4 linked regions of the Coturnix japonica genome follow. The protein of the gene in region 1 purifies or fractionates together with the protein of each later gene. This does not show direct contact. Links are inferred from orthologs where the notes say so. Each region holds a gene or a part of one and is shown in the gene's direction. Other genes may lie near its edges.

Region 1 (7,905 bases):
TTCATGTTGTAATTTCTCAAACTCCCTGTTCTGAGTCAACTCACAATCAAAGTGAAGAGTCATTTAGAATATGGGGAAGGATCATAGTATTCTAGAGAAGATGAAAAGTTGCCAGCCTTGAGGACTCAAATAATAGAAAGGACTTGAAATTCAGTCCTGCAGAATACAAGGGCATGCTCTTTGGAATGAAGAGCAAAAAAAATATGAGCTCCTTAGTTGAAAATAACACGAAGACAAAAAGCAAGGAATATTAATCAGTCACAGGATGACAATTATGCCTGCCCTCTAGGCTGAGATGATAGGCAATGGGGAAAGCAGAAAGCAGCAGACGTGATCTACCTTGACTTCAGTGACATCGCTCTCATTAGCAAGCTGAAGAAGTTCTGGCTGAGTAAATGTACTGTTATGCTGGCTGCAAAACACCTCGACCACTGGGCTCCGAGCACAGACATCAGTGGCTCTGTGTCCAGATGACAGCTGGTAATGAACAAGGAAGTCCTGGGTTTCAGTTGGGGTTTATTTCACCCCACAGCTTCCTTAGTCACCTGGGGACACTGATTATTTAGTAATATTAATTAATTCTGTATCCCACTAACACTAACCTGGGGGAATGCACTGAGTAGTAAAGTTACCTTCCAGAGTCACTGCAATAAACTGCAATAAGCGTGAGGTTTTGCTGCAGGGACAAGATCTACATGCACCAGGGAAGGCTGAAAACCAACTGGTACAACCAACTTATGATCAACCTGATCATAGCTACAATTAATTGAAGGGAGGTTGTGAAGACAACAGATATGAGATGCTGGTAGTGGCAGGAAGTATAAAATGGCCACAGTTTGCAACTTGAGATGTTCATATCAGACATGAGCAAAAAGATCTTTATAGGGAGAATAGCACAGCACTGGATCAGGGAGGGAGAGATGCTATGGGCTCCATGATAGGAGATAACTCCAGAGGTCCCCTCCCACCAACACTTCTGAGGTCACATACTACAAAAGCAGGGATTCCAGAGCATCACATTTAGCTTCAGAAGTCCACAGAGCAATGCTAAGTTGTAGGATTCAGGTGCTCTACACAAGTCTTCAGACACAGCTGTCACCCACTGAATCATCCCTCCCAGCAGAGTCCGGGGAAAATGTATTCACCTAAGTAGTGTTCTTTCCAGAAACATTTCTTGGAAGTTCACATCCACCCATCCAAGCTAATGCAAGCACAGGCCTGTTTGTATTGCGCAAGTTACAGTGGTGCCTAATATAGAAACGCATATGTAGAATGACTGCATTTGATCAATATTACTCAAGCAGCAATTAAACCTTTTTTTTCCTATTAACTAGTTTTGCAGGGGTACCATCTACATTATCAAATCAACAGCCCACGGTGTTATACAGCTCTAAAACCTGGCTAAGTACTGTAGGTGTTCTGAAGGAAATTGCCTTATGATGGGATCAGTGAGTCATCTTCTGGGCCCAGATGAGATAATCCAGGCTTTGATGCCATTTACACTGTGCAAGAAGCATGCTGTTCTGAACTTCTCTAAAGCCTTTCATGATGTGAAAATCGATGGTAGGTTTTGAACTGACCTGTAATGGAGCAGCTGAACCTGAGACACTCCGAAGCAATGAAAGTGCATTCTGTGGAGACTCCTGAGGCTTTAAAGTCCTGCATCCACCTCAGAACAAAACTTGGTGAATCATTCCGACATCGCAGCAGGTAGAGGTGAATCAGGATAGGTGCCAAAGCCTGCAAGGACGAGCAGTAGAAAACAAGCAGTAAAATAAACATCTCAAAAAAGGCTTTTGTTTAACTGACTAAAAGCCACGCACAGGTAAAATAATGACACGTTTAGACGACGTACAGACCGCTGCCAAGTTCCCAGGCTTATCGCAGCATGACCGCAAGAGGGCAATATTATTCTGAAGCAAACTTTCTGAAGCGGAAAACTCAATTAACATCCACACAAGCAACTTTGGCTTTTACTTTTTATTGATGCTTTCTTCGTTGCTTTTAAGTTTATTGAAGGCCGAGACAACAAAAGATTTCCATTTTTCTTCTCAAATTAACACAGCAGGGGGCTGGAAACCATCAAATTGGTGGGGGATTTTCACTTCAAGGTTTGAGATGTAGGGAAACACAAACATAGATCTTGGTAGCAGTATTTATGATGGGTAAAATGACAGCCCAGGGGCGTCTGCACCACAGCACCTACCTGAAGAGCCAAGGTGTCTTTCTTGGATGTTCTTTAAGTGCTGTCAGTGCTGTAAGAGCACAGTGCCATAGCCCTTGTGTCGGTGCAATACTGCTTGAAGGCTGCTTTATGCAATTAAAAGCACTGTAAGTGTAGCAATATGACTAAAAACAGCATTTAAAAGCAGGAATTCTGTCAATGAACCAATGAGGTGGACCTACAGCAGCAACAAGGGCAGCAGCGATAAACCTGAGGCAACCCTTCCAGCACCAACCTGAGGGATGCACTGCAGCCCCACAGAAGGCCGCCTCACAACCCTTTTCCTCATTGACTTAACACTGCTTTTCCCCACCCGCTACGAGCTTCACTTCACATTCTTTAAGAGCTGAGGTCATAACGCCAACAACCCCACACAGGAATGGACAGAACCGAGCCCAATATCCACCACAAATCCCTCCCACTGCCTCCTTCAAAATGGCGGCCGCCCCTCCCCTCTCCGTCCCCACTCCCATGGTGCTTTGGGCGCTCACCGCCCCATCATGCCCCGCGCGCTGCCCCTCCCCTCTCATAGCGGCGGCCCAAGATGGCGGACACAATGAGGAGGAGCCGCCGCGCCGCGGCCTGAGCGGGCCCAGCCCCGCCGCTCCCCGCTTTACCGTGCCCACACGCAGCCTGTCGCCTTTTCCCGTCCTCTGTTGAGCCTCACTGAGCCGCCAGGCCCCGCTTTATTTTATCTCGCCCCCTTTTTTCTCCTTTGGGCCTGCTTTGATTTTCCCGGCCCTCTCGGCGGCCCCGCCCGCCCCGCTTTGAGCGCGGCCGCCTGTGAGAGCGGCCCGTCCCGTCGGTATGAAGCTGACGGACAACGTCCTGCGGAGCTTCCGCGTGGCCAAAGTGTTCCGCGAGAACTCGGACAAGATCAACTGCTTCGACTTCAGCCCCAACGGCGAGACCGTTATCTCCAGCAGCGACGACGATTCCATCGTGTTGTACGACTGCCAGGAGGGCAAGTGAGTGTGTGAGGCCTGGGGGTGGGAGCAGTGAGGGGCTGGGGGGTGTTGAGCGTTGTTTGGTCCCATTGGTTGCCCGAGGGGAGATATCTTTATAGCGAGACACACACAGCTTAAGGATCGCATCCTGCTAGTTCCGAGCATACAAACTGGCTTTTTCCCCTCACTAAAACACAAGTAATTGCTGTGAGCAGCGCTGCTAAGCAGCAGGATTCGACCATTCCATAAATAAAATGCGAACATAGCGCGTTGTCTACTTGCCGTAACTTAAAATAGCTTGGGGGTATGCTGATAAAACCCCATTCCCGAGTGGGGTTTAGTTGTGTTCTGTGTTTTTCTCCAGTATGGGACTGGGAAAATGTTCTTTAAAAGAGTTGACGGGCACTGGCACAGCTGCATGGGGAGCTGTTGGGGGTCACTCTCCATGGAGATGTTCCAGAACTATGGGGATGTGGTACTGAGGGATGAGGTCAGATGGGAGTGGGTGCATGGTGATGCTCTCAGAGGGCTTTTCCAACTGCAATGATACTGTGTTCCTATTTTAATCTGTAAATCTGGCTTGAAATATATGTGGTTTGCTTGTCTTTATGAGCTAGCAGTGTGTCCATATGGCCAAGAAGGCCAAAGGCATTGTGGCTTGTATCAGAAATAGTGTTGCTAGCAGAAATAGGGAACAAATCGTCCCTCTGTAGTCAGCACTGATAAGGCTGTACCTCGAGTACTGGGTTTAGTTTTGGGACCACGGAGGTCCTGGAGCGTGTTCAGAGAAGGACAGCTTGGCTGGTGAGGGGTCTGGAGCACAAGTCTTATGAGGAGCAGTTGAGGGAGCTGGGATTGTTCAATCTGCAGAAGAGGAGGCTCAGGGGAGACCTTATCACTCTATAACTACATGAAGGGAGGTCGTAGTGAGCTGGGGGTTGGCCTCTTTTGTGTAACTGGTGATGGGATTAGAGGAAAAGGACTCAAGTTGCTGCAGGGGAGGTTAAGGCTGGAGTGGTCAGGCCGTGGAATGAGCTGCCCAGGGAGGTGGTGAAGTCACCAACCCTGGAGGTGTTCAAGAAACATTGAAGGACACGATTTAGAGAGAACTATTGGTGATGGGTGGATGGTTGGACTGGATGATCTTATAGGTCTTCCCATCTTTGGTGATTCTGTGATTCTGCAGTATATATTTGGAATGTTTTTAAGCATCACGTACGTACAGAAAGTGAAAGGAAAACCCGTGTATCTGCTGTAGGATGGAGAATTAAAATGACAGGATAATAATGAGGGGAGAGAAAGAGAAATTGTTCTGCTGTCCAGTGTGTCTGTGTAGCCCTGTTGCTTTTTCAGGCAGACTAAGGTATCATTCTCAGTGTATTTGGAAGACTGCATCCTGCATATACTCTTCATTTTGTAGACTACTTATCATATGTTAGGCTTCTGTTTAGTTAGCTTATATTTCAAGTGAGACTTGTTACTCTTCCCACTCTGATACCGCAGACTTCTGCTTGAAGTGAATTTGTGTTCATTTTTATAAGAGCAGGTAACATTACGTGGCTGGTGTCTGCTCTGGATTGCATTCTTGATTGTGGTTATGCGCAGCAGCAGAAGGGATGAGTGATGTTCATGCAGACTTTATTGATTGCTCTTACCCTTTCAATCCTGTAGAGAATCGTTTGATGGGTTGGGAGACATTTGGCCCTTCCATCACCATTTCTGGCTGATACTGATGTGTGCTTTACAGTGAGGTTTGCTTTAACCTACGGTAAGTGTAGAAAATTGATGGCTTTCTGCTGCAGCTCTATGGGGCAGGCTGCTTTCACCAAGGTAGCCCATGTTTCAGGATCTGTGTTTAGTTATACTCTAGGCATGCACTCACCTAGTTCGCTTTGCTGCTTCAAATAAGCCACACCAATGTAGGAACTGTGTAACCACTGCCATGGAAGTGAACATCAGGCTGTAGGTATCGGGGCAGTTTGGCAGTCTGTGGGACTTCAGCTGGAGGCTCGTGGCTGTGCATCTGCAGCCCTGGTGTGATGCAAAGATGGCTTAGCAGGGGTTCCGTTTGTATCTTAGTGTGTAGCAATTGTGTTTTATTTATACAAATCAAGAGGTGATGGAGCTGGATTCTTGCTTAGCCATGGTGTTCACCAGATGTTTGGTGACTGGTTCTGGGTGATGGTTTTACCAGCAGGAATTGTTGTAGTACCAGCCTTGCCTGTTCTGTTTCTTTATAGCAGATTAGACTTTTGCTTTGTGCTTTGCTTTGATTTGCAGGTGGGCTGGCTAGATTGCCAATCTAGTGCATGAAGGGACCAGCTGTTGCTTGTATCGGCTTATATATTCACCTTTCTTACTACATATCTACATGTAGTCATGGTATTATTGACTTTCTGAGCATGCATTGGTATGTGTAGGTATTCTTTACTACAGTATGGAAGATCCCTTCGCACCCAAGCTGTTTTGTAGGTACTCAACATCATAACTGAGGTGGCTACAAATAATAGGTTACAGAGTTTAGTTATCTAGACTTAAATTCTGTACTTGGAAGTGTGTTATATGTGTTCCATTTTCAGTTTGTAGCTCCTTTGCATCAGTGAAAATCTTGGAAGCAATGTAAAAATCGACTGGAAGGAACTGAGGAAGAATCTGTTGGGATTTGGTGCAAGTGGTAGAAGTGGGGGTGGGCTTTGAATTATTTGTGCTGTATTGACTTTCAGTTAATGGAAGCTTCTCTCCTGCAGGCTCACTTGAAGTAAAGTCATGTGGCTTCTGCTGTTCAAGAGTTGATCTTTAAGATCAATGTCTGCTTTTGTTCTGATAGGAAACATCTCCAGCTCCTGCTCTTGTTTGGGTGTGTCGCTTTGGAGCTGAACAACACAAGGAAGCAATTGAGTGTTTTAGACATACCTTGTCTGAGGGTGTAGTCTGGTGAACTGCTCTTTGGCAGCAGAATTGGTTTAAACTGCTCCTGTTGTTTCGTTTCTGTTTGTGTGCTGTTGCCTTCCATTTGTAATAATAAGGTATTTTGTGGGACTGGAATAGAAGTAACTCCCTAAAGAGACTGCATAATTTCTTATGTTGATATCAGTACCCATTTGGGTCCATTGCCCTGCTCAGAAACCACTGTGCTGCTTCAGCTGAAGAAGAAAGAGGAAGGAGAGACCTCGTGCCTCTTTTCGCTTCTGCTACTGCAGAAAGATACACCGCTGCTTCTACAGTTCCTTTGCAATTTAACTACTGCAGAATACTGCTCGCTTACCAGACCCTTAACAACCAGTTCTGTGTGTCTTTGCTCTCTAGAATGTCTCTGATATTGTCACATAATGTTACACTTGAGTTTCATGCTTTAATTAATATAGGATCTGAGTATAGTTCTCCAGCAGTTTGAGAGTCCCTGTGTTACCATTGCTTCCTTATAGCACTGTTATGTATTTGTCTTAATACCAGGAAGACAATCTGAATGAGATCTCTGAGGTTTTGAGATAGCATAGGACAAAAAGATAGAATCTAAAACATGTGGCAAATGGATTAGAAATGGATTTTGGCAAGGTACTGATGAGGCAGTGCTGCTTGGCATTAAAGGCTTCTTATTCTAGCTACCCCAGCTCTTCACATAGACACTGTAGGGAAAATGAATGTTGGAAAGAGACTAATAAGTGAATTTTGTTGGCATTGCAGGGAACTCAAGCATAGGGATGGTCTAGGAGATAGTACTGAGGTACTTGTTTGAAAATGAAATACAAACGCTTTTCTTTCATTGCATAAAAACATCTGACTCCTTGAAACGATCTCATAATATGGTAATTAAAAGAGGCACTGCTAATGGGCTCAGTTTCACTTAGAGCTTTGTGGCATTGAGGGCAATTATTTCTGCTTCCTTCTAACAGACCAAAGAGAACGCTGTACAGTAAGAAGTATGGAGTGGACCTCATCAGATACACACACGCAGCCAACACAGTTGTGTACAGCTCCAACAAGATAGATGGTAAGTGATCTGCTGTAGTTCAGCGTTTTTGATCCACATGCATTTGAAGTGATGTGCCTGGGTAAACAGCAGGGCTGGCAAAAATTTGCAGCAGCTTTTAGGTGGTGAGTGTGCTGCCACGGGGGATTTGATGTTCAGCTCTAACGCACAGCTTAGTGAAGTTCTCTCAAGCGTGCTGTTGTGAGGTGTGTAGGTGCTGTGAGTGAGATGAACTTTCACTTCTTGACCCTGGGGAGTTCAAGAAGAATAAAAGCTCACAGTTCATTTTGTTGTTTGATACCACTGTAATCAGTTACCCTCTGTGCCTTGTGTTCTTCTTGTGAAATGAGGAAGAAGGAGAATGCAGCAGAAAGTGGGCTAAATGCCTGATACACTGGCAAAGGAAGGGAATGTTCTGCAGCAGAGATGACACAGAGCTTAGGTGACTTGGCAAACCACCAGCCACACCTGGATGAGGTTGCAGAGCTCTTCTGAGATAAGCTTTGTTTCTGTTCATTAGCCCCACTGCTTTTTTTCTGTGCAGTAGGCATATGTAGAGAATTGGTTTCCATGCTGTTTCTCCCACAGTCACTATCTGCAATAGCCACATTCTTCAAATCAATAACACTGAAGGGCTTTCTAGACCTTCACAACAATCAATGAAAGGATTTGAATTTAATTTAGAAGTCCAGTTTAGGATATAGAATACAGAATAGATGGCTAATCCTTCTGTAGGGCACTGCTTCTTCCCAAGGCTGGAAAAA
Region 2 (7,303 bases), on another chromosome or scaffold:
AAATCAACTACCTCCACGTTATTTATTCCCTTTGTGTCTGTGGTGCAAAGTAAAATGTGAAGCTGTCATCAGGATCTGCCAAAAACAAGACAAAAACAACCTGTGGTATTTTTGGAGATGTCTCTAAGATTTCAAGCGTCTTAATGTAAAATATGGCAAAGCTGAAAGACTTGTTTAATAAGCTAAAAATGAGCTGAGCTGCTGATAGACTGTTTAAAACATACAAGAACTCAATTCCAGTGTTTCAGTTGATGGCTTCTGGTAAAGTATTGCCAAAGAAAAGAGAGATGCACGGATATGTTCATGGATCTAAACTCTGAAATCAGTTAGTTTTTAATATCTAGGCAATATATAATTTAATATATAGGCAATGGATTGTTGCCTACAGTCTGCTGTGCTGTCTGATTGCTGTACACTACAGATCCTGCAGTTCCTGACCCTTCTGTCCTTTAGGCCTATCTAAAAGTTGTCCTAGATATCAGGTCCTGGCAGCAAAGGTTTGTGCTGGCCCTGTGCACCAAAGTGGCAGGGATGTCCTTGGTCCTGCTTTTCTTCCCGTCCTTCCTTTCCCCCTGTGCTGAGCAGCCGTCATGCTGCGCTCACATCCTCATTTTAGAGCTGGGATTTGTGATATGTTATTGCTTTCCAGCAGCTCTCCTCCAGTCTTGGAAAGTACAACAGTAATTTCAGTACTTGGTATCTATCGAATGGTGTTTTGAGCAGGCTGCGAGGAGCCTGTGTAACCTTTAGAAATAAGGTCTGGAATAGCAAACACTGAAGGGAGAAGAGCATGTAGGTGTCACTGCTGCAAAGCTATGGCTATGCAGATGCCTAATGTGATGGAAAAATGAAAAGCTCTAGAATGGCAATACCTTCAAGGGCTTAAACTTCTGTTTGGACAACAGGTGTATTGCTCTCCTTTAAGACTGTCCTGCATTGTACATAGCTGTAGAAGCTGGAGTATTTTCTAGCTCAGTCACTGTGGCTTGGGAGAAAGCATCCGGGTCTCAGGGATCTTTTCTGTAGTTTTTTCCAGCCAGGGGAGAACTTGTTTTATTGAAGCTCCTTCCACTCATACATTGGAGATGATTTTGCTTGTTAGAAAACTGCCCAGGCTGGACATTGAAATTCAAGCTCTCAAAATGAATTTCAAAAGCAAGAATGTCTCTGCCTATGGAAGAAGGAAAGGTATTTATTTCTGTCTGGAGATAGTGCAGCAGCGTGTTGAGACAAGGTATAAATAAAATATTATTGGAAATGGCCTGGCTTTTTCCCGCAGCTGATTAATCTTTAGCTTGTTTCGCTCTCTGTTCCAGGCTGTCATTTCGGAGAGGTTATTTTTTATGCACTGAGAGAACAAATGTGTGAGTACAGCACTGTCAGCTGCTCTTTTGACTTTGACCAAGCTGCCAATTAGCAGTGTACGGTCTGATCTCTACAAGCTGCCTGGTTTGGGTCCAAATCAGAGAAAAAGAAACTTTGGATACCACATTTTTCATAGGATATTATTTGCATCCTTCTTACTGGGGCTAAATCATGTAAGGTTCAGTCACAGAAGCCTCTTAAGAATTCAGGAGTGAATATCCTGCGTTTTCTTACCAGCTCTTTCATCACGGTGGAGAAAATCCTTGCACTAAAAATATAGATTTCTCAAACCAATGTGCATCTTTGATTGTTCTAAAGCCCGAAATATGTTGTGCAACTGTTTATAAGTAGGTCACTGTTAGAAGGAATTGAACAAGCTCATTTCTCATGTGCTGATCCTACATTGGGTGAGTGGTCAGACAGCACAGTACAGAACTGAGACAAATCTGCCTGGTTTTCTTCTGTCCTTTTGACATCCGTGTTTGTATAAGCTGTAACAAAGCATCTCCTGATCACACTGAGGTTTCCTACAGCCAAAGGACTAAAACTGCCTGGAGATTATACTGGTCCAATGGAAATAGATCAGAAACCTTGGAAACTTGAATCCGAAACAGTCGGTTTTTAGATTTCCATTTAATCTTCAACAAAAACGAATGCCTATGCTTTATTCATGAGCTGTAGTGACTCAGTGTTGCTTACATTGTGTGCTTTTTTTACATACTTAATTTATGTGTGTGAGATGCAGGTTTTGATTCTGTGTGTTTTTTAGCAATTTCTAGCAAGACCAAACCATGGGAAAATTGAATTTTTGCCTGCATGTAGCTCATCTCTAAAACCAAAGATGAGTTGGACTGTAGAAGAAGAATGGGAGAATCAGCATTTACAGTTTAACCAACAGATCACTTTGTTCTGTACCTGTCTGTCCATTATTTGGCATTTTTAGTGCCTTGTTCATTGCTTGGGAGCGTTAGGAAAATTATTGTACGGGTGGAAAAATGACTGCGCGGATGGGAAGCATCGTGTGTGATGAAGTGCTGCGACTGAGGTTTAACTTCCATTTGTATGCTTCATTACTTGTAATATTTTAATGGAATACTTGAAGTTTAGTGGTAATTTCAGTGTCACCGTGTGAGTCGGTGCCAGTGGTGAGCAGTAATACATAGACAGCGGGTAATAGAAGAGCATGTATTGCTTGAAAGATAGCGCTATTAAAGCAGTGACTTTTGACCTGCACTTAACTGAATGCTGCTATCGCTACGTGTTGTAATTTGGACTGAAGCTCGATTCTGAAGCTTGTTTGAGGAAAACATTGTGTGCTTTCCAGTGTTATCAGTGATTCTGCAGTGCAGGCAGTGTGAGCATGACCAGGGGCACTGACAGGAGCTGGTGTGCAGGGCAGAGCTGTTCTGGTGCTGACACCAAGTGCTAGCAGAGACTGGGCCCAGAGATGGTTGCTTTTATGAATGGATATAACGATATCTTTGTATATCTGGGTAGCAGAAAATGGTGTCTGCAACTGAGGGGTGGATCAGATAAATGAGGGGAAAACTCTTCTGTTAGCTGCAGGAACTTGTTCAGTCCAAGCTGGTGTCCTTGTTCTGTGTCTGAGCATTGACAGGTGATAAAGGGAACCAAACACTGTGAGGTGTTGCACTGGAGGAGTGAAAAGAGCGAAGGACTGAAAAAACAGCTGAGCTGGGAGCTGAATTTCCAGGTTGCCTTTCACTGTGTTCAAAGGGACTGGTAATAGGTGAGGCAGGGGAGAGAGCACAGAAAATGCAGTGCTTGCTTTAGTACAGGTGAGTTTGTCTGGGCTCCAAGTGAGTAATGAAATAGCTCAGCTTAAATGGCCAACGAACTAGAATCTGAAATACATGAGCTGTTTCCCTCTTGATTAAATCCTTTGTAGGTTTGAGGCACTCAATTTCTCTCCATGGTAGAGACTCTTCAAAGCATTAATGATGCTAATAGCTCCCTCTTAGCTTTGCTGTAGAATTCAGCAGTTTGGTGGCTTTGATTTTAATGCATTTAAGAAATTATTCTGGTCCTCGGCCCTTTTTTAGCTCTGCACATTTTCTCATGTCGTTCCTCCTCTTTGGCACAACCAAGAAGTGGGAAAGCCTGAGGATGGGATTTACAGGAACCTTCTGAAATAAATGTATTCACAGTCCCAATCCATATGGAGTGGAAATTCTGTGTGAAGGGTTCCCAGCTCTCCTTCCAGTTGTCAGGTTTTCAATGCATTCAGCTGTTCCTGTGGCTCTGGTGCTCCTGAGGGACTGGAGCCTCCAGGGGAGGGTGAAATAAGAGTGGTAAAAAGGTAAAATATATCTTGAAATATTGAAATAAGCTGTTTAATACTTCTAATTTCTGCAGTATGCTCTGTAACATTGAGGCAGGTTTCAGGAACACAATTATGTTTGTCTCACTGGTCCATTTAAATTGCAAAACAGTCATTAAGGGTGTGCCAGGTCATTAGGTTTTGACAAGTCTTGTTTTGTGGAGGCATTTTCTGAGGATGAAGTGCAGGTAATGTACTGCCTTCCTGTTAATTGTAACTGAAACCTGACTTATGAGTAGAGTAAAACTGTGTTTCATAAACCTTGTGCGACTTGAGTATTTTCTTCCTCTAAGGAAATGGATTTGGTTTTGTTTTTTATGAATTCTGGGGCTCCAGCTGTTTACTTTTCAGCTTTATCTGTGCCTGACTGCTTTAATCTGTCAGTAGTTAGCTTAACTTCTGGCTAGTGGTTATGGGATGGCAAGCATGTTCATATGTCTGACATTCCCATATGCATTTACACTGGATTACTTAAAACTTATTTTAAGAGTTCAGAGTAGTTTGAATAAGGCAGCAAACAGCTGAGTTTAGCAGCAAAGTGTAAATACAGATTATTTTAAGATATTATTGAATTATTTAATTGTAAAAGAACAGTTGTTGCATTCCCATTTGATGTTAATGGCATTTAGGCACTGTTAAAGTAACGCTGGGAACACTCTTGGCTTGGGTAACCGACTTCTGATTCCTTCCAACAGTGAGAGGATCAAAACCAGGTAAAAATGTCCAGCTTCAGGAGAATGAAATCAGAGGACTGTGCTTGAAATCCAGAGAGATTTTTCTCAGTCAGCCTATTCTGCTAGAACTTGAAGCTCCACTGAAAATATGTGGTAAGTGCTGTGATCTGATGCGTGGTTGGGAGTGGGGGGCATTTAGATGGATATCCTCTTTTAAGCAGGGGATGAATGCCAGATGCTGCTTCTGCTTACAAAACTGATGAATGATTGCAGTAAAAGGGAAAATAAGCCTGTCCTGAATGCTTTGAGTGGAGGAATGGGAAGGAGGTAAATGGGAATTGTAGGGGGAAGCAGGAAATCCCAAACCAGAAAGTGGTCCTGTTTGATCAAGTCTCCTGGGAAAGGGATTCAGAAGAAGCTTTGGAAAGGAACCTTTGTATCAGTTATTGCTCAGTGCTGTCGTCACTGAACATGGAGGAAAACAAGACACAGTAGCTGATGGGAGCTGCCATCCAGATCTCAGCCCTGATTTGACACAGTTTTAGAATCTGGAAGCTTAAATTTCTGTATCACCTGTGGTTTCTGGTTTGGTTTTACCATATTTATGTATGGTGATGTTCTCACTTTTTAGACATGCACATGTGTAGTTATGCTAAAGGGATGAAGGATGTCAAAATAAATCTTTAATAAATGCACGTTAGTAGAGGTTCCAGGAAGCAGTGTTTTATCCTGCTCCAACACTGCGGATTTACTTCTGAAGTAGCTTGTTCAATATTTATGGTATGTGGTAGCCTTAAAACCAGATTTATTGTTCTGCTGTCTGAAACAAAACCATGATTTAAACCAAAGGCAGGAATACCAATTTCTTCTGATACGACTTCCCTGCTGGAATTTGAGTTACTGGCTGTTGCAGGAAAATACCAGACGTGGTATAGAGGAAAGGAAATTCCCCAGGCAGTTTTTCCATCAGTGTCACTACTGAAGTGTGGCTGTATCAAGAATGAAGTCAGGGTTTCTAATCTTGCAGCCTGTAGTCAAGAAAAGGATTTAACTGGGTGCCAGATTTGTTTGAGTATGTAGAGTTGATTTCTTGGGATGTTGGACTTGTTTTATGAGTCTATGAGTATATTAAAGCAGATACGTACTGGAGTCATAATGTGTTCTTAGTCATTGTCTTACGTAGATATCAACTTTGAGTGTGATAGCATGAAGACAAACTATGTAATCTTCAGGAATGCTGCAGGCAGTATCTGTCTGCAGGTTTTTCCTGTTGGTGCTGTTTCTCTAGGGAAAATAATTGTAAAATATGACAAAGTCAGTTACGTGCCATTTCTGACTGCTTTTTACAGGTGACATCCATGGACAATACTATGACTTGCTTCGGCTCTTTGAATATGGAGGCTTTCCACCAGAGAGCAACTACCTATTCCTTGGTGACTATGTTGACAGAGGAAAGCAGTCTTTAGAAACAATTTGTCTTCTATTGGCCTACAAAATTAAATACCCGGAGAACTTTTTCCTCCTCAGAGGGAACCATGAATGTGCCAGCATTAATAGAATTTATGGATTTTATGATGAATGTAAGTAATATGGTCAGATGGGAGGACCTTTGGCTTGGGAAAGCAGGGTAGGAGGTGCTTACTGTCTTCTAGACCTCCAGTATTAAATCACTTCCTGAACTTGCAGTTAGTTCTGCACACTTCAGATGGCCCTGTGGTCTGTATTAGCAAAAGGAAGTCTTTGCATTGATCTTATTATCGTCTGGTCCTCACAGTACAGAACAGCAAGCAAAGAGGTAATTTTATTTATTGGCCACTGAAGTAAAGCAACTGTTCCCACTGGTATGAATTTGTAAAGTTCTTCAGGTTGTCTGGTCAGAGATTAGGGGATTTTACTTTGCTTTATGGTTTCAGTCACTTTCATGTACCTTTTGAGGTATACTGTGATTGGGGTAAAGGGCTGTTCTGTGTTATTATGGTTACAGCACTTGCAATCTAGTTCCCAATAAATTCTGTAAGTTAATAGATGTGTACATTTGTATGTTACAAAAGGATGTGACCTAATCTCACATAGAGGAGATAAAGCTGTTACGGTGGTTGGGTACTGAGGCTTTCTCACAGCTTCTGCTGGGGACATGCTTGGCTTGTCGGTCACAAAATGTTCTCTGTGTCTCGTTCTCCTTTTTCAACAAGGAAGTGGAGTTGGGTGGTATTTGAGTTGACTCCTCAGAGATTAATCACAGGTTTAGTCACATGGTGCAGATACATTCAGGGTTTGTATCTGATGTGAGAGAGTATTAGAGAAGATAAATATTTGCTTGTAGGTTTTATTGATGACTTTTTTGCAAGTCTTAGTTACAGGCAGCCATAGTAGGTAGCTTGTAGTTGTGTTAGAGAAGTAGATTGAATGGTCTTTTTCCCCCCAATCTTTTCTAGGTAAGAGAAGATACAACATCAAGCTGTGGAAAACCTTCACCGATTGTTTTAACTGTTTACCAATTGCAGCAATTGTGGATGAGAAGATATTCTGCTGTCACGGAGGTAAGTTAAGTTCTTTAGTTGATATTTCATGAAGATGTAATACCCCATAATACTGAAATATTGGCAATTCCATATTCATGACATGTGCTCCTCTCTTGCTGGAAAACATTTTAGGGGCTTTTTGTGTCTTGGAGCTCATTATTGAGGCTTTGAAACTTCAGGGGTTTGTCTCTGCATCACTTTGTGTTGAGAGCTTGATTAGTGGTACTGTCATAAATAGCTGAGCTGGTAGTTCTGCCTTCTGTATTCTTTGTCAGGGGACATATCTGGTATTGTCTCCTTTATTCCAAGAGTCCCCATTGGTTTTCTGACTTGCATGACCAGAAGTTGTATAAACACTCTGAGAACAGTGTTTTAGTGCTCTGTTTACAGACTGGCCCTGT
Region 3 (7,303 bases), on another chromosome or scaffold:
TTTCATTTTGGCGCTGCAAAACATTGGCAGCAGTTAAATACAGAAGAAAACTTAATTCTTACCAGAAGGGTTTTAAGGAAAGCAGATAGTGGAGCAGAATGTGGCAGACGAGCTAGTTAGGCTGAAGAAGCACTCAGTAGGACCTTGATGTTATAGGCATCAGACAACCATGGGTTTAAAATGAAGCATAACTATCTCAGAAAGAGTAATGGGAACTGTTAAGGCTGTGCTGTGCTCTTCTCAGGTGGGAACTTTCTTAGGTGTAGTGACAGTTTGTTGTGTCTAGCACAGCGAGTTTCAGGTCTGCAAAAGGGATGAGTATGAGCTACTGGAGTGCAAGCACTTGAAAAGCATGGAGGTGTTTAGAGGATTTTGGTACCTGCAGATTGAGTCGTCAAGTCTTGTGCAAATCTGTCAAGGTTTATTTCTTGCCAATAACCCCTTTGGGGTTGAAGATGCATCGAAGAGCATCATGTTGTAGACATTTGAGATGCACTGCGACTGAGGCCTGTGTGCATTTATTCTCCGATCACTTTGTGTCTTAAAAAATACAAGGGCAGACAATGAACTTGTCATTCTTCCCGCATTAAGATGTTAGATTACAAGGAGGTTAGTAAAAGCTGTCTGCTTTCTCTAATGTAGTTAGAGGAAAGCGTGTGACTTACCGTATGGTAAATGTCACATGGAGTTGGAGTCACGTCACATTTCAAGTTTCTCTGAAGTCTCCTTATGGTGCTTCTGCAAGCCTCGTTCTTATGGGATTCTAGTGAGCAGTGTATCATCACTGAAGATAAGCTGACCTTCTTTCTATTGTTGCATTCCCGCTGGCTGCCCCAAGATGTAGTTTCACATCTTCTCTTCCCTACTTGAAGTACTAATTATTATTTTTTTGCCTCTTCATCTCTTGTGTGGCTGCTTAACCTTAGTTAAACAAGTGATCTGGTTTCTTTTATTTTAATTAAAAACAAGCAGCAGTGTTGAACTGATCAGATGCATTCTGGGGGAAGTACACAATGATAGGCAGGGCAGAGCGTTCTGATCTTAACTCTTTGGACTTCAGTACTATGTGTCTTAGGATGGGTTGTTTCCCCTTATATCCTTTCTCCCCCACGTAGATGGCAGTGATCTACTCTGCAAAGTATGTTGGCTGAGAGCTGAGCTGCAATAAAAAGATGTATTCATTTTGCTCTTCTGTTAGCAAGTTTTATAAGACTTACTGAAACTGCAGCAAATATTTTTTGAGTCAAGTCTTACTGTGTTAAAGTTTGAAAACATGATTTGGTCTGCTAAAGGTTCATACCACTTTTTTTATAGCTGCTACTGTGGTTTAAAGCTGAGTGTTGCTCCATGCGAAGCAGGGGGGCAGAACATGATGGTAGCCTGGTATAGACACTGCTGTGTTCTGCTCTATTAGTTGCATCTGATTGTTAGTTTATACTGACATGTAGAACTGAATCACATCAGCCAGAATGTAGACATTTGTTCTGCCGCATGTACACATTAGAGCCTGAGAGAGGAATCAGGTAGGTATTCATGGAAAGAAGCAGCAGCAGATAGGCTTGGCAGAGGATGTTAGTCAGAGTGCGGTGGGGATGTTTTTGGAAACTTCAGGACTAAGTATGGATTGGAATACTTGGCTTGTGGATATAGGAATTCAATGTCAAGCTAATTGAATGTCTGTTTGGTTGCTGAGGTTCCCATAACTCGAGATCCATTATGTATGAATGAAGATTTTAATCAGCACAGACACAGTTTAATGTGATGTTCCTGATAGGACAGTTTCAGCTGCAAAAAGTACAAACGTTCCTTTTTATTATGCTTGCCTTGTTGAACTTAGTTGGCCTAGATCATTTTGCGTCAATGTATTTGAGATTTCCATTCTCAAGGCTTTTTTTGCCTGCTGCAAATACTCTAGCATAATCTGATAATTCATTTAAACACTTTTTGAAGTTGCTATTATCCAAATACAGACAAAAGCAAGATCTAAATTGCTGCTTTCTGGGACTGTGACTTAACCGGGATGCATTCGGAGCTTAAGCGCAGGTTGCCAGTATATCAGAGTTTAACTTTAGAACTGGCTGGAATATGCAGTTCCCACATTTAGTAGATAAGTTGGTGTGTCAGATACAGACTTCAAACACAGCTCATCTGCACTTAACTGTTGTTAGGTGTCTGTGTGCCAGCTATCTTAATTGTTAAACTTCTCATTACAGTACGAGGATGTCGTCCTGGGAAGATTGTTCAGATGACAGAAGCAGAAGTTCGGGGCTTGTGCATAAAATCACGAGAAATATTTCTTAGCCAGCCTATTCTCCTGGAACTAGAGGCACCGCTGAAAATTTGTGGTATGTAAACTTAATGTGTGTGTCTGTTATGTAGGTGTGTTGATTTAGTTGTATGCTAACTGGAATGAGAAGGAAAGTTGATGAAGGAGATGCTGAGATACACAGATGACCTTGATTTGAGCAATACAGATTAGTGATTGAGGTCTTCTCAACCTTAAACATCATTTTCAACTTAGATTGGAGTCAATCTAAGTTAGTCAAGAGAAAGGAACTAATGTTTGCTCTTGGTGCTATTTAGGAGCAAGTGCTGATGGCAGTAAGAGCTGCATGCACTTCTCTTCTAGTGCAAATTTTGCAGCCTGTCTGTTGTCCTAAGGGCTTCCTCCACAGAGCTGCTACTGTTTGGATCATTATCTCAAAGCATTCTAAAAACACCTAAGTAGTAAATGGTTGCTGTTGTTGTTCCTTTCATAGCAGAAACTGAAGAAAGATCTTCATATAAGATGAGATGGAGTACTTACTAGTCCACTTACTAGTGGAGCAATTGTAGTCATTGCCATTCACTTAGAATATTAGCAGTTATTAGTGTTATGTTTGTTCTTAAATGGCAAAGTCACTTTTAAGTGAGTAATGGCTTGCTTGAGTATGGAGGAGTGGAGGAACAGGACCAGCTTGCCTGACAGCATAAATTTGAAGGTAAAAATCTAGCTTTACTTCATTTTATTTTTTCTGTGATGAGAAAAAGAATAGTGTCATCTAATTCCTAGACAGAATAAAATTGAAAGACTTGCATACACTCTTAAGTTCAATCTGCAAAGTATAATGAGACTCCTTCAAACAAAGTTAGTTTCTCACTTGTTTAAATCTAAAGAGCTCAGAAGGCTCTTAGATATACAGTAGTCGAGATAGCAAATGCACAGTTATGTAAGAGATTTGTTATTTTTAAGTTACATGTTTAACAAAGCGGTAGCACCTGGAAGTGACATGTAGATCTAAATTAAACATTAGAGAAATTGTCAAAGTTGTATTTGTTTAGAAGTGGAAGAGAGGTGATGGCTTTCACTGAGAGCACAATATGCTGCTGTACTGCTTTGAACTACTGGTTTAATGTGTTCAGGTGGTGCTTGAGAAATTGTTATAGAACTGTCTTGTAATCAGTTCAAAATAAGCTTTTAAGTCTTGAATGGCTGTTCTAACATAAGATGGAAGATTTTCTTATGTAAACGTCCATTTTAAAATAGCTGTAGTTCTTTCTCTGATAGGCTTCAACTTGTGCCTGTATGAAGTTGTATTTTAAATTATCAGGTGCCTGCAAAGGAATAATTTGAAATGCTTTGGTCACTTCACAATAGTTTCTACAGAATGGTCTTTCATTCTTCTATGTCCATTAATCCCTTTAGCTTGTGTGTGTAACTTAAAGTAGTTTCAGACAATGAACATTAAATATTTCCATGGTATATTTATTTTGGTGATGAGTACTTCTGATGGTGATGAAGTTTGAGTACTAATTCAATAGTTCTGGAGTACTGGATTCAACACCATGGTGACATGTTGATGAAACTTGCATGTTTTTCTGTCTTAACCTGGAGATTTCTAAATACCAAGTGGAGTAGAAACTCTTCTTGTAGTGTACGCACAAATGATTTTAGCTGGTAGAACTTCAGAGGGCCTGCAGTTGGGTAGTGAATAATGTTCATTATTAAATGGAAAGTGGTGTGCAAGTCCCCTCCTTGAGCAAGAAATAGTTGAAAGCATTGTCTGCTGAAAGAAAATAGTGTTGATTTTTCTCATGGAAAGATAAAGAGGAATAAGGCATGAAGTCACTGCTGGAGTATGTGACTCCACACAAGATGTGCAAGTCTTTTTGTTTGGTTTAAGGTTCTGAAACAAGTTGTAGGCATGTGGGTGGGGACATTTTGTTTGTCAGTTTTGCTCTTTATAGCCAAGGAAGCTAGTTCTCTACTGGAGAATTACTAGGCTTAATAAAGACAGGTATTTTGCCACAGAACAAACAGCACAGTTGAAAATGTATTCATGACATGCTTAGTGTAAGGGATCAAGAAGTAGTCTGTATTATCAGCATACAGCTTTTACTAAGGGTTTCTTAGGCATAGTTTTGCATTTAGTCACTTTGTTAATGAATTCTGCAGTCAACTGAAGTATATCACAGCTACTGTACAAGTTACGGTAGAGCTTTGGTATCACTTTTGACCTTATGGGCAGCTCAAGGGTAATTACTTCAGCCTAGTCTGATGTGATGTGCTGTGGTGGTTTAGTTGCTGCACAGAGCTATTGTGTGGATGTGGATGGAAGCCATCTTAGTTTTAAAACTGGCAGTGTGATGAGTAACATGATCATTACTGCTCCTAAGACTTCTGCAGTTTTGAGTAGCATGTCAGGGCTATCAGTCTTTCAGTCTCTGTACTGTTTACAATAAATGCATCCAGGGAGTTGTCCTAAATGCCAGAGAATGGGAAGCTTAGTACAGTGATTTAAGCTCTTGATATGTTTACTCCTTACATTGTTGCACTCATCCGTGGTAATCCTTTTTTTATTCAGGTGATATTCATGGTCAGTATACAGATTTGCTTCGACTATTTGAATACGGAGGATTCCCACCAGAAGCAAATTATCTTTTCCTTGGAGATTATGTAGACAGAGGCAAACAGTCTCTGGAAACCATTTGCCTACTTCTGGCATATAAAATAAAGTACCCAGAAAACTTCTTTCTCTTAAGAGGAAATCATGAGTGTGCTAGCATCAACCGGATCTATGGATTCTATGATGAATGTAAGTTAAACCTATTTCTTCTGAAAGGCTGATGTGTATTAATACTGTGTTTTGGAAGTACTTCTGGTAAATGACTCACGATTCATGTGCTATAAGAATTTCAGTGTTCTGTGAACCTGCTTTGAAACCTTCTCAAAGAGCCTATCAAAAGAAGGTTAAACTTAGAATTATTTTCTATTCTGTTGTTTCTGAAATGGTATTGTAGGAGTCTCTGAGTGTACTCAGGTTTCAGAAATAAAGCTGTGTGAAGACAGTCAGTTTACATCCCCAATCAAGTTGTAATACATGTTGTAGGTTGGCTTTAAGAAAATAGTCATCTTTTCCTAATCTCTCACACTGCTCTTGTAGGTAAGCGGAGGTTTAACATTAAGCTCTGGAAGACCTTCACAGACTGCTTTAACTGTTTGCCAATTGCAGCCATTGTGGATGAGAAGATCTTCTGCTGTCATGGAGGTAAATGGATGACTACTTTTAAAGGATGTGTCTAAGCTGTTCTTTGGATTATTGTTGTATTGAATTGCGAGGATGTGCATGTTCAGCTCACAATGTATATTGTCTGCAAAGGTTGTTGTTGTCTTGCTTTTTTCAGTACATCTGGCTGCTAAGAAATATTTTGCTTCCCAGTCATAAATGACCACTTGTGTCAGAGGGGCAAGTGCATCTAATTATTCCTGTCAATACATGAGAATTCATGCCTAATTTTTTGCTTCATGTCTTGTTGGCAAAGCTATGTACTGATGCATAGCAGATACTGGAATCTCTAGCTGTGAAATGAAAGAAAAAGCTTCACAAGTAACCCCAGCTCTGTGGTCTTGGCTTCTTTATCTGGTTTTGTAAGATGTTGGTGGAAGAGACCCCTGGCACATAGTCACAATCAAGCCTGATGCTTGAGTTGAGGCATTTGACATTGGATCAGTCATGGCTCCATCTGACTCCAAAGGATCCTGACTGTTGGAAAACATACATTCTGGGTACTGGTCCCTGTGCTGCACAATTTTTGTAGTGGAAGAAAAGGATTTGATTTGCAAGAAGGCTGTGACTTCTTCCTGTACTGGGACTTAGTCACTCTTCTTTGTCAAAAGAAACACCTCAGTGTTTTTATAGGAGGTGATACTTGGAGGATTCTGGGACCTTGTAGAGTACTATTGCAACAATTTAAACAATTGACAACGCTTTCGAATTACTTCTGTAGTAGCAAGAGCTATCCCACAGTCTTCCATCTATCTTTTTAATTAACTTCTTTACGCAGCAGCTTGATCCAGAAATGGTGTGGTAGGTATCATGTCTGCATTGCCAAGGAGGTGATTAGAAACCACTGGAATTGAGAGCTCTGCAGAAATCTACAGTTTGATTGAACAGCTCCACTAGGATTTAGATGTAACTTATACCTAAAATTCCTGTGCAGATTTCTCTGAAATGTGTACTGATGACTGCTGCCCTGTCTTTATTCAAGTATCTCTATGAGGGTTGTGCCTGTATGGAATGATCCAGCCTGCACTTGTATCGTGTATTGACAGGTTCTGCCTTCAGTGCCAGCTACTGTAAGCTTATCAGTCTTAAGCATAACATGCTTTTAGGTATTAGCTTTCCTTTGTAAATCCAAAACTAATACAGTGTTACACAGCTGAGTCTATAGCAGCTCCCAGGTGGTATTGATGTGTTAGAGAAATTACTTGTCTTCTCTGTTGAAGGATGGGGATCTTTTTTTTAAAACTGGTACCTACCTTAGGAGCTAAAGCTTGTAATTACAAGGAACAATTATGGGTTGCTCTGAAAGTAATGCCTCCTATTTATTTCTTTAATGGAGAATTCACGTCACCACTCCATGGACTGTCATTTTGACTGCTGCTGATTGTGGTGACACCACAACTTGTAATGACACGATCCAGGAAACTGTCACCTTCAGCCTATTATTTGTTCAGTATGTCCTGATTTGTTCTTCCTGTTCCTGTGAGAGCATTCATGGGAGCCACCTGGTGTGTATTTTGCAATATTCCAGTGTTTCCACTGTAGTTTCCAATGCACTGAAGCCAATATTTAGCTCTGTACATATTTTCACTGGCTGTAATACATGAATTCATGTTGATGAGTTGATCAAAGTACTCTTGATTTTTGCGGTGTGACAGCTGTGTGTGGCTGTCTGGAATGTGCCTCATCTTTCATGACACTGTTGCCACTGCTGAAACACACCACTTGTTGCCTTGCTGTGCTACCATCTGTTGTTTGGT
Region 4 (7,303 bases), on another chromosome or scaffold:
CGGCATTCACGCTGAAGCTCGCTGCCGCAGTGTCAGTGCTCCTCTGGGCCGGGGAGAGAACAGCCTCTGCACACCTGGAGCTGCCAGTTCTGCATGCAAATATTAGGAAGTAGTTTCTTTTTGCTGCAGGTATGAATATTTGCTTGCTAAATGCTGGGTATTAGCTCTAAGACCGATACCCTGCATTCAGTAGCTCTCTACCCTGTCACTATTCAGATTGGTCAGAAGGAAGATCTTAGGATATTTATTTTGCTGAACTCAGGGAGGCTCTACCTGAGCTAAACCTCACTGTGCCAGGACTAAAGGTGGCAGTTAGCGTGTTGGACAATGAATGAGGCCCTTTATAAGTGGTTACGCTGACGTGAGTCTCTCCCAACAAATTTACATCATTAAAACACCTTTGGAAAAATGTGTCGTGCATATAATTAAATACCTGTTTGGCTAACTCTTAATTTAATTAATGCAAAGTGAAGATGGCAGCACAAATTAATTGAGAAGGAAATGGCTTTCCTCTCAATGGGCTGAAGGGAGGGTTTCTGGAGGTATTGTGCCCTCAGAAATGTGCAGGTGAACTCTGGGACTGATTGACACAGTTTTTTTGACGGTGATAGAAATGATGTCCTCGCAGCAGTATGTATGCCAGTTAGCAGCTCTTTTTCCCCCTGTGAAAGCAAAGAGGAAACCAGAAGGCAAAGCTGCTTTTCAGCCTTACTTTAAGAGATATTTGGTAGCAGCCACAGCAAATTCAAGTTCAGATGAGTGAATGAAAAGAAATTCATGCCACAAGAGGTCTTTCTGTGTCTCGCATTGACTTCTTTCTGTGCCCATATCTTTCTCAGTTGGTGCCCATGTTTTTTCCCCTTAGATACAACTTTCCTGTAACTGTTCATCTGCTTAAAATATTAATTTTTCTTAACTTTCTTCAAAGACTTCCCCATAGAAGATCTTCTTTTGGTTTGACCTCTTTGCTAACCTTGTGTATTCTTCTTTTTTCCCCCCTGCCCTTTTGGTGTTTTTCTCCCTGCTGTTAAATGTTTCCCTTTCCATTTTGCCTGGGATAAAACTGGAGCACTGGTTGTTCACTGTGTAGGTGAGTTGTCAGCCCCACACTGCAGGAAGCAGGGAATCTGTTGTTGCTTCCTGCAGACGTACATAAGTACAAGAACTTAAAAGCGTCTTCCAGGAATGCTAGTTGTGTTGCTTTAGCAGTTCTCAGCTCAGCTTAAGTGCATGTATGAGACATATATGAATGAAGGAGAATGAAGGAGGCTGATGTGCAGCTCAGGCCTGCCAGCTGTGGTTTCAGTATCAGCTGGTCAGGTTGTGCATGAGGGGACAGACCCTATAGGAAGACTAGGGATCCCTAAGGGGCTGTGGCTGGGAACACGTCTCCATGGTGCTGTCTGGCTCTGGGGCTCCACAGGGACTTCACAGGGTGACTTTCCTCCATATTCCCCATGGATGAGATGAATGTAAACTTGAAGTTGGTTTTGTCTCTCTGTGGTAGGCTGGATGCTTCTGGCTTCTCATCCAGTACTGTCTTTTAGTATGATCCAGTTTCTGCAATTGGAGCTTGTGCTTTTAACAGTGCTTTATGTGTTTGTTTGGTGAAAAATGGGCTCTGTTTCACAGGAGACTTGTTTACACCTGCCATGATCATCTTGGTTGCTCTTCCTTTGTCCCTCTCACTGGAGCTGTGTTAGCTGCAACTGCAGAATGTCCTTTCATTCCTTGGTATCCACAGTGTGGTATGAGATTGTGGAGCTGAGCAGCTGGGGAAAGGGATTCAGGGTGCAGAACTCAGCACTCATTCATGCTGTGAACCACTCTGCAGGGATGAACGGTGGTCTCCTTATAGAGCCCAGAGATTAAGCATCTTCAGAAAGCTAGGATTGCAGTTTTTTTGGGGTGATCCGTGCTGTGTGTGCACTGGTGGGCTCGTGCTGCAGCAGCACAGAATGTGAGGAAGCCTGGGCGAGGGGAGGTGCTAGGACAGGAGGATTTGCAAAGCTGCTGTGGCAAGCACTGTGCTCAGCCTGCTCTCTGGTGGTAGCTGCTGTAGCAGGAATGACCTTTGATAAAAATGTGAAGCATTTGGTTTGGATGGGGTGGTTGTGGTTGCTCAGCTTGGTACAGCTCACAGCAGAGTCATCAACTCAGCTGCTTTTGCTTTTGTTCTCTTACTCCTGAGCAAAATTCCTAGGTAAAAATTGAAATCACAGCAGCTTTGGGAAGAGAACTGCCAACAGAGTTCCCCTGTGCAGTTCCTTCAGTGTCTGACAAAGCAGGAGCTCCATTCTTCCTTTCTTTCAGGTCAGGAGAGTAGACAGCAGGTAACTGCTGGCCCACAGCGTGGAAGAAATAAACATCTTGGGGTTCTCCAGTCAAGACTGGCTGAAAACAGCCAACAAATTCCAAAAGCTCTTGCCAGAACTGAGATGCAGAAATACTTAAGTAGGCCAGTGACTTGCGGTCGGTCTCATTTCCTTGGCTGGCTGCAGGGGCGGGACATGGGATTGATAGTTTCTGTTTAGAAGAGGAGGCACAAACTGTTTAGTTCCTTTGTGCAAACTGTCATGAGGAAGGAAGTGCTTGATAAGTTGTTCAAAGGAGGCAGGCCAGTTGTGCTTGTTGGGAGCTTGAGCGAGAAAGTCACAATGAGAGCTTCTGCCTTTCGGTCCTAAAAACATATGGTGGTGTTTGCTGTCACCCTAGTGCTAGTTTTGCCATTTTTATCTGAGAAAGAAGGAAGAATGGTGTAAATAGTTTTGGAGAAGGTAACTTGGGACCCTCTCTTGTTTTTGACATCCAGTGGCCAGTACTCATTTTGCTTAGAAACATGACATTTGCTGTGTCTTTGAATCACAGTATTTATGACTGTGAAATTTAAAGGTAATTTAAGCAAATTCAGGTTTTGTTTTTCAATGTGAATTGCTTTGGCCCAGTAGAGACAACTTCTAATAGCAGCAGCCTTGTCTGCTACTGTCTTTCCACAATTAGAGGATAAGAGTTGACAGCCAGTGAGACAGAGATAATAATTCAAAAACATAGAAACTGTGTATGTGGTAAAAACTAAAGAATGAAACCTGTGGCATAAGGCACCGGTCAGTATTAGATGCAAATAGGAAATAATACATTGTGCAGTGAAAGGAGTTTGGGTTGTGTCTATTTTGCTAAGTATGGGAACAAGTCTTAGTCTTGCACAGAAGCTGAGGTTTTGGGTTGGTTGAATCACAGAATGGCCTAGATTGAAAAAGAACTCAAAGGTCATCTGGTTTCAACCCTCCTGCCATGGACAGGGTTACCAGTTGTTAGACCAGGCTGCCCAGAGCTGGTGGTCTTTGAGAAAGCTTCTACCCCTGCTTCCTAAGGTCTGACACAGGAGAGAAAAGCTTCAACAGGAGCCAGCTGCTCAGTGGACCTCATCTTTTTCAGAGTGCTGTTGGCTTTGCTCAGATCCCAATTAAAACCTGTGTCAAACTTGGGTTTATTAGAAGCAGCCAGAGCTGTGGTATTTATCACAAAAGGAATGTGCTCTTCACCTTTTCTCTATTTTGTTTCAGAGTCAGCATTCTTCAGGGGAGGACATGGAAATCTCTGATGATGAGATGAACTCTGCACCCATCACCAGTGCAGAATGTGCCAAAACCATTGTGGTCAACTCCTCAGTCAGCAACGCAGGCGTCATGGCCCCATCGATCCCTCCCTTGCCGCCACCGCCTGGATTCCCTCCTCTTCCTCCTCCTCCACCACCTCCTCCACAACCAGCTTTCCCGATGCCTCCGCCGCTGCCTCCTCCACCTCCTCCCACACACCCTGCTGTTACCGTGCCACCACCACCGCTCCCCGCACCCCCTGGGGTCCCTCCACCTCACATCTTGCCTCCGCTTCCTCCCTTCCATCCCAGCATGTTCCCAGTTATGCAGGTGGATATGATAAGTGTCTTGGGCAACCACTGGGGTGGCATGCCCATGTCCTTCCAGATGCAAACTCAGATGCTGAGCCGCATGATGCAGGCACAGAACACATACCAATATCCGCCTTTCATGGGGGGCAGGATGCAGTTTGTGAATCTGCCGCCCTACCGCCCGTTCTCTATGGGAGCAGCTCTTGGTCGTGGGCAGCAGTGGCCACCACTGCCCAAGTTTGACCCCTCAGTTCCACCACCGGGCTATGAGCCCAAGAAGGAAGATCCCCACAAAGCCACTGTGGATGGAGTCCTCCTGGTCATCGTGAAGGAACTGAAGGCTATCATGAAAAGGGACCTGAACCGGAAGATGGTTGAAGTGGTAGCATTTCGGGCATTTGATGACTGGTGGGACAAGAAGGAACGGCTGGCAAAGGTAGGCTTCTGTGTCTTGTGTGCTTGGGCACAATTAGAAGGGGACAATGAGCAAACTCTCCCTCCTCCCCAGTGCTTGTATATGGCAGTAATTAATGCAAAAGCTGAACGTTGGCCAAATACATGAGGATTAGTTAAGGGGACAGCTTCGCATGAATTGTCTGATCCTTTCTCGGCCAATTTCAAGCATTCCTCAGCCAGCAAACAACTCTGTGATTTAATACACAGTGAAATGAACTCTACCCAAAAAAGCTAATGCTATGATTTGCTAAGATTGATGCAATCTTCACAGTGACTATTACAATTAGTTGTTTAAAATATATAGAAATAAATAAATAAAGCAACACCACAAGCCACAGCTGCCCTTTCTGTTTCAGATACCAGTTTCCAGAGCAGTGCCCTCACCACAGGCTCTGTAAGCTGGTTGCATGCTAGCTCTCGTGTCTGAGATTGCTCTTTGGCTTACAGAGTGATCAGTATTGCTGCTTCCTGACAGTGTGATCTGCTTAGAGCTGCCTAATGGGCAGCGAGGAGCCTGGTCCTCTGCTCTTGGCTAATGCACAGAGCTGCCTCCACCAGTTAGTACGTGCTAACAGTGTTGGAGTTGGTTCCTGAGCTTCCAGGAGAGTGAGAGGAATGGATCCCAAAAGCAGAAGCTGAAGTACCCAAGAAACTGTTTTAAACCAGGCTTTGAAGTGAAGAAGCAGAAGCAAGTTGATTCAGGTCTGCAGGGGTGCTTGGGCTCCTGTATGTACCATGCTGGGGTTAGGTTTAGTCTCTCACCTGGAATTTGCAGCCCATGTTGGTAAGGGAAGCTGGCTGTGCCACAGCAACTTGGTACAGTGCGGGTTGTGCTGAAGGTGAGCAGTCTAGTGGAACGTACGGGAAAACTGATGTGCTTTTTGTCCAGGAGCCATTGCTGCTTTAGGGCACTGTCCAGAGAAGCTTCTGCCAGGCTTTATGTCAAGTTGCACATGGTGAAACCACCCAGGTCTGAGCCTCGTTTCTTCTAGGCCCAGCCACAAGCTGTCTGTTTGCTCTAAAGGAGAATAAACTAGGAATATTCAGCAAAGCGGCACCTTCCTATTGCTGGTGTGTTGCTGTCTAAGGGCTCCTTGGTGACACCTGTGGGCTGGGGCTCCACATATTGCCATCACTGATTTTCCTAGAACAGACCAATTCCTCCAGGCACTGTTTTAACTCTTTAAGGTCTTTTCCAGCCTGAGCAATTATGTGATTCAGCTCTTCATGGAAAAGCACCATACATATCACACTAATGCCTCAGCTTTTGTATCTCCGTTTTCTGGCTACTGTATCAACTTGTCTGCTGCTGATTGCCAGAAACATATTGCTATAGGTGTGAAGTGGGTGTCTGAGTTCTGTGTTCAATATTCCCATTAGTACTGTCCTTTATTAGCAAGAGAGTTGAGCTTACACTTCCTTTTCAGTGATTACACTCTAGCAAATTAGCTCTGTAAGTGAACATGACTTTTAGTGGATGTTGCACCCACTTACTGATGCGAGTGAACATTTCCTCTGGTGTCCTTCGCTCAGGACAAGCATGTTGTTATGTCTTTCTGCTTTGCTTTGCTTGATGGATTTAAATGCAGGATCTCTTAGTGTCCATGCCAAACAACTCCTCTGAGAGTCCCCACAGGTTTGTCTTCAGCAGTTTTAGTGCCCTGTGCAGAGCAAATAGCTTCTTGAAATACAAAGGGGAGAAGGCTTCTTGAAGGACGGGAAGGTCTCATTGTCAAGAAGAGCTTCTGTGCTTTCTCCCTTTCAAATGGTGTGGTCATGTGGTGCATGTCCAGATGCCTTCAGAGAAACTGATGCCCAAGCAAGGGAGGGATATTTCACGAACCCCATCTATCTAAATGGCTGCTGGAGTTCACATTCTCCCCAGGAAACTTCTCTTTTAAAGGTCTTTTTTTCTCCTCTTCTGTTTTAGGCATCTCTCACTCCAGTGAAGTCTGGAGGAGAACTGGAGGAGAAACCAAAGCCAAAGGATCGAATTGCATCTTGTCTCTTGGAGAACTGGAACAAAGGCGAAGGCCTGGGATATGAGGGAATTGGCTTGGGCATTGGGTTACGAGGGGCCATCCGGTTGCCATCCTTCAAGGTAAAAACAAAGATCTGCCTTCATTACGCTAACATTCCCTAAAGGAGCAATGGGAGAATAGACCTAGCCAGGTTTGTCCCCCAAAGCCTTACAGGCTGTTAGCCTCACACTGTTACCTTACAAGATTCCTTCCTCCAGTATCCCTTCTAACCCACCAATAAAAAAACAAGGATACTGTTACCCAGCCTTAGCCTTTCATCTACCACTTGTGTGAATTATTAGGAAAGGATTTCTGCTCTGCAAGGTAAATGGGACATGTGCCTGTGTGCTGGTTTCAGCTAAGACAGCATTAGGATGCAGTGTTTCAGTGTGGTTGTAAAAATATGCTTGTGCTAATAGCACTTTACACAGCTGTTTCTTTGCTTGGAACTCTGTAAGCAGAGTGTATTCAGAGCTGGATTTACCATTCATAATAGGCCTGTAACACTTCTAGATCTCTGGATTTTGAGGTTTGGCTCTTTTGCATAAGTCAGCTATAATGTCTTGCATTTTGGCAGCTGAGTCACACCTGGAATTTGATTTAAAATGTTCTCTAACTCGTGTGAGTTTATGGGATTAGACTTTCAATTACAGGGTCATTAACTCTAAAGTTTATTTGTGCTTCCTGCCAAGAAGTAGAAGCATAAAAAATGAAAGGTTTTTATTTTTTTTCCTCTAGTAGTTTAAGCAAAAAATAAGGGATGTTAGAGAGGACTTCCTTGAAACTGAAGTTTTTAATGCAAAGAGAAGGCACATAAAGATTTGGGACTAGAGATTCAGTAGTCCTGATTTATAATAAAACTTGTTTCAAGGTTCTTTCAGATGTAGGCTCACTCATTTTCTGTATTGCTGTCTCAGAC

The links.
Region 2: the proteins of WDR82 (region 1) and PPP1CC purify together in Homo sapiens (affinity purification with mass spectrometry; 5 studies listed by BioGRID and IntAct, with this or other methods). This does not show direct contact. The link is inferred for Coturnix japonica from reciprocal best matches to the Homo sapiens genes WDR82 and PPP1CC.
Region 3: the proteins of WDR82 (region 1) and PPP1CB purify together in Homo sapiens (affinity purification with mass spectrometry; 5 studies listed by BioGRID and IntAct, with this or other methods). This does not show direct contact. The link is inferred for Coturnix japonica from reciprocal best matches to the Homo sapiens genes WDR82 and PPP1CB.
Region 4: the proteins of WDR82 (region 1) and SETD1B purify together in Homo sapiens (affinity purification with western blotting; 4 studies listed by BioGRID, with this or other methods). This does not show direct contact. The link is inferred for Coturnix japonica from reciprocal best matches to the Homo sapiens genes WDR82 and SETD1B.

Annotation. Positions count from the first base shown.
Region 1 is NC_029527.1:1,816,380-1,824,284, reverse strand, and holds the start of WDR82 (WD repeat-containing protein 82), read left to right. Parts: upstream 1-2,731; 5' UTR 2,732-3,031; coding exon 3,032-3,192; intron 3,193-7,064; coding exon 7,065-7,162; intron 7,163-7,905. UniProt on the Homo sapiens protein: Regulatory component of the SET1/COMPASS complex implicated in the tethering of this complex to transcriptional start sites of active genes.
Region 2 is NC_029530.1:5,182,484-5,189,786, reverse strand, and holds part of PPP1CC (serine/threonine-protein phosphatase PP1-gamma catalytic subunit), read left to right. Parts: intron 1-4,401; coding exon 4,402-4,533; intron 4,534-5,729; coding exon 5,730-5,960; intron 5,961-6,815; coding exon 6,816-6,920; intron 6,921-7,303. UniProt on the Homo sapiens protein: Protein phosphatase that associates with over 200 regulatory proteins to form highly specific holoenzymes which dephosphorylate hundreds of biological targets.
Region 3 is NC_029518.1:24,310,087-24,317,389, reverse strand, and holds part of PPP1CB (serine/threonine-protein phosphatase PP1-beta catalytic subunit), read left to right. Parts: intron 1-2,213; coding exon 2,214-2,345; intron 2,346-4,844; coding exon 4,845-5,075; intron 5,076-5,423; coding exon 5,424-5,528; intron 5,529-7,303. UniProt on the Homo sapiens protein: Protein phosphatase that associates with over 200 regulatory proteins to form highly specific holoenzymes which dephosphorylate hundreds of biological targets.
Region 4 is NC_029530.1:4,867,224-4,874,526, forward strand, and holds part of SETD1B (histone-lysine N-methyltransferase SETD1B), read left to right. Parts: intron 1-3,563; coding exon 3,564-4,343; intron 4,344-6,293; coding exon 6,294-6,464; intron 6,465-7,303. UniProt on the Homo sapiens protein: Histone methyltransferase that catalyzes methyl group transfer from S-adenosyl-L-methionine to the epsilon-amino group of 'Lys-4' of histone H3 (H3K4) via a non-processive mechanism.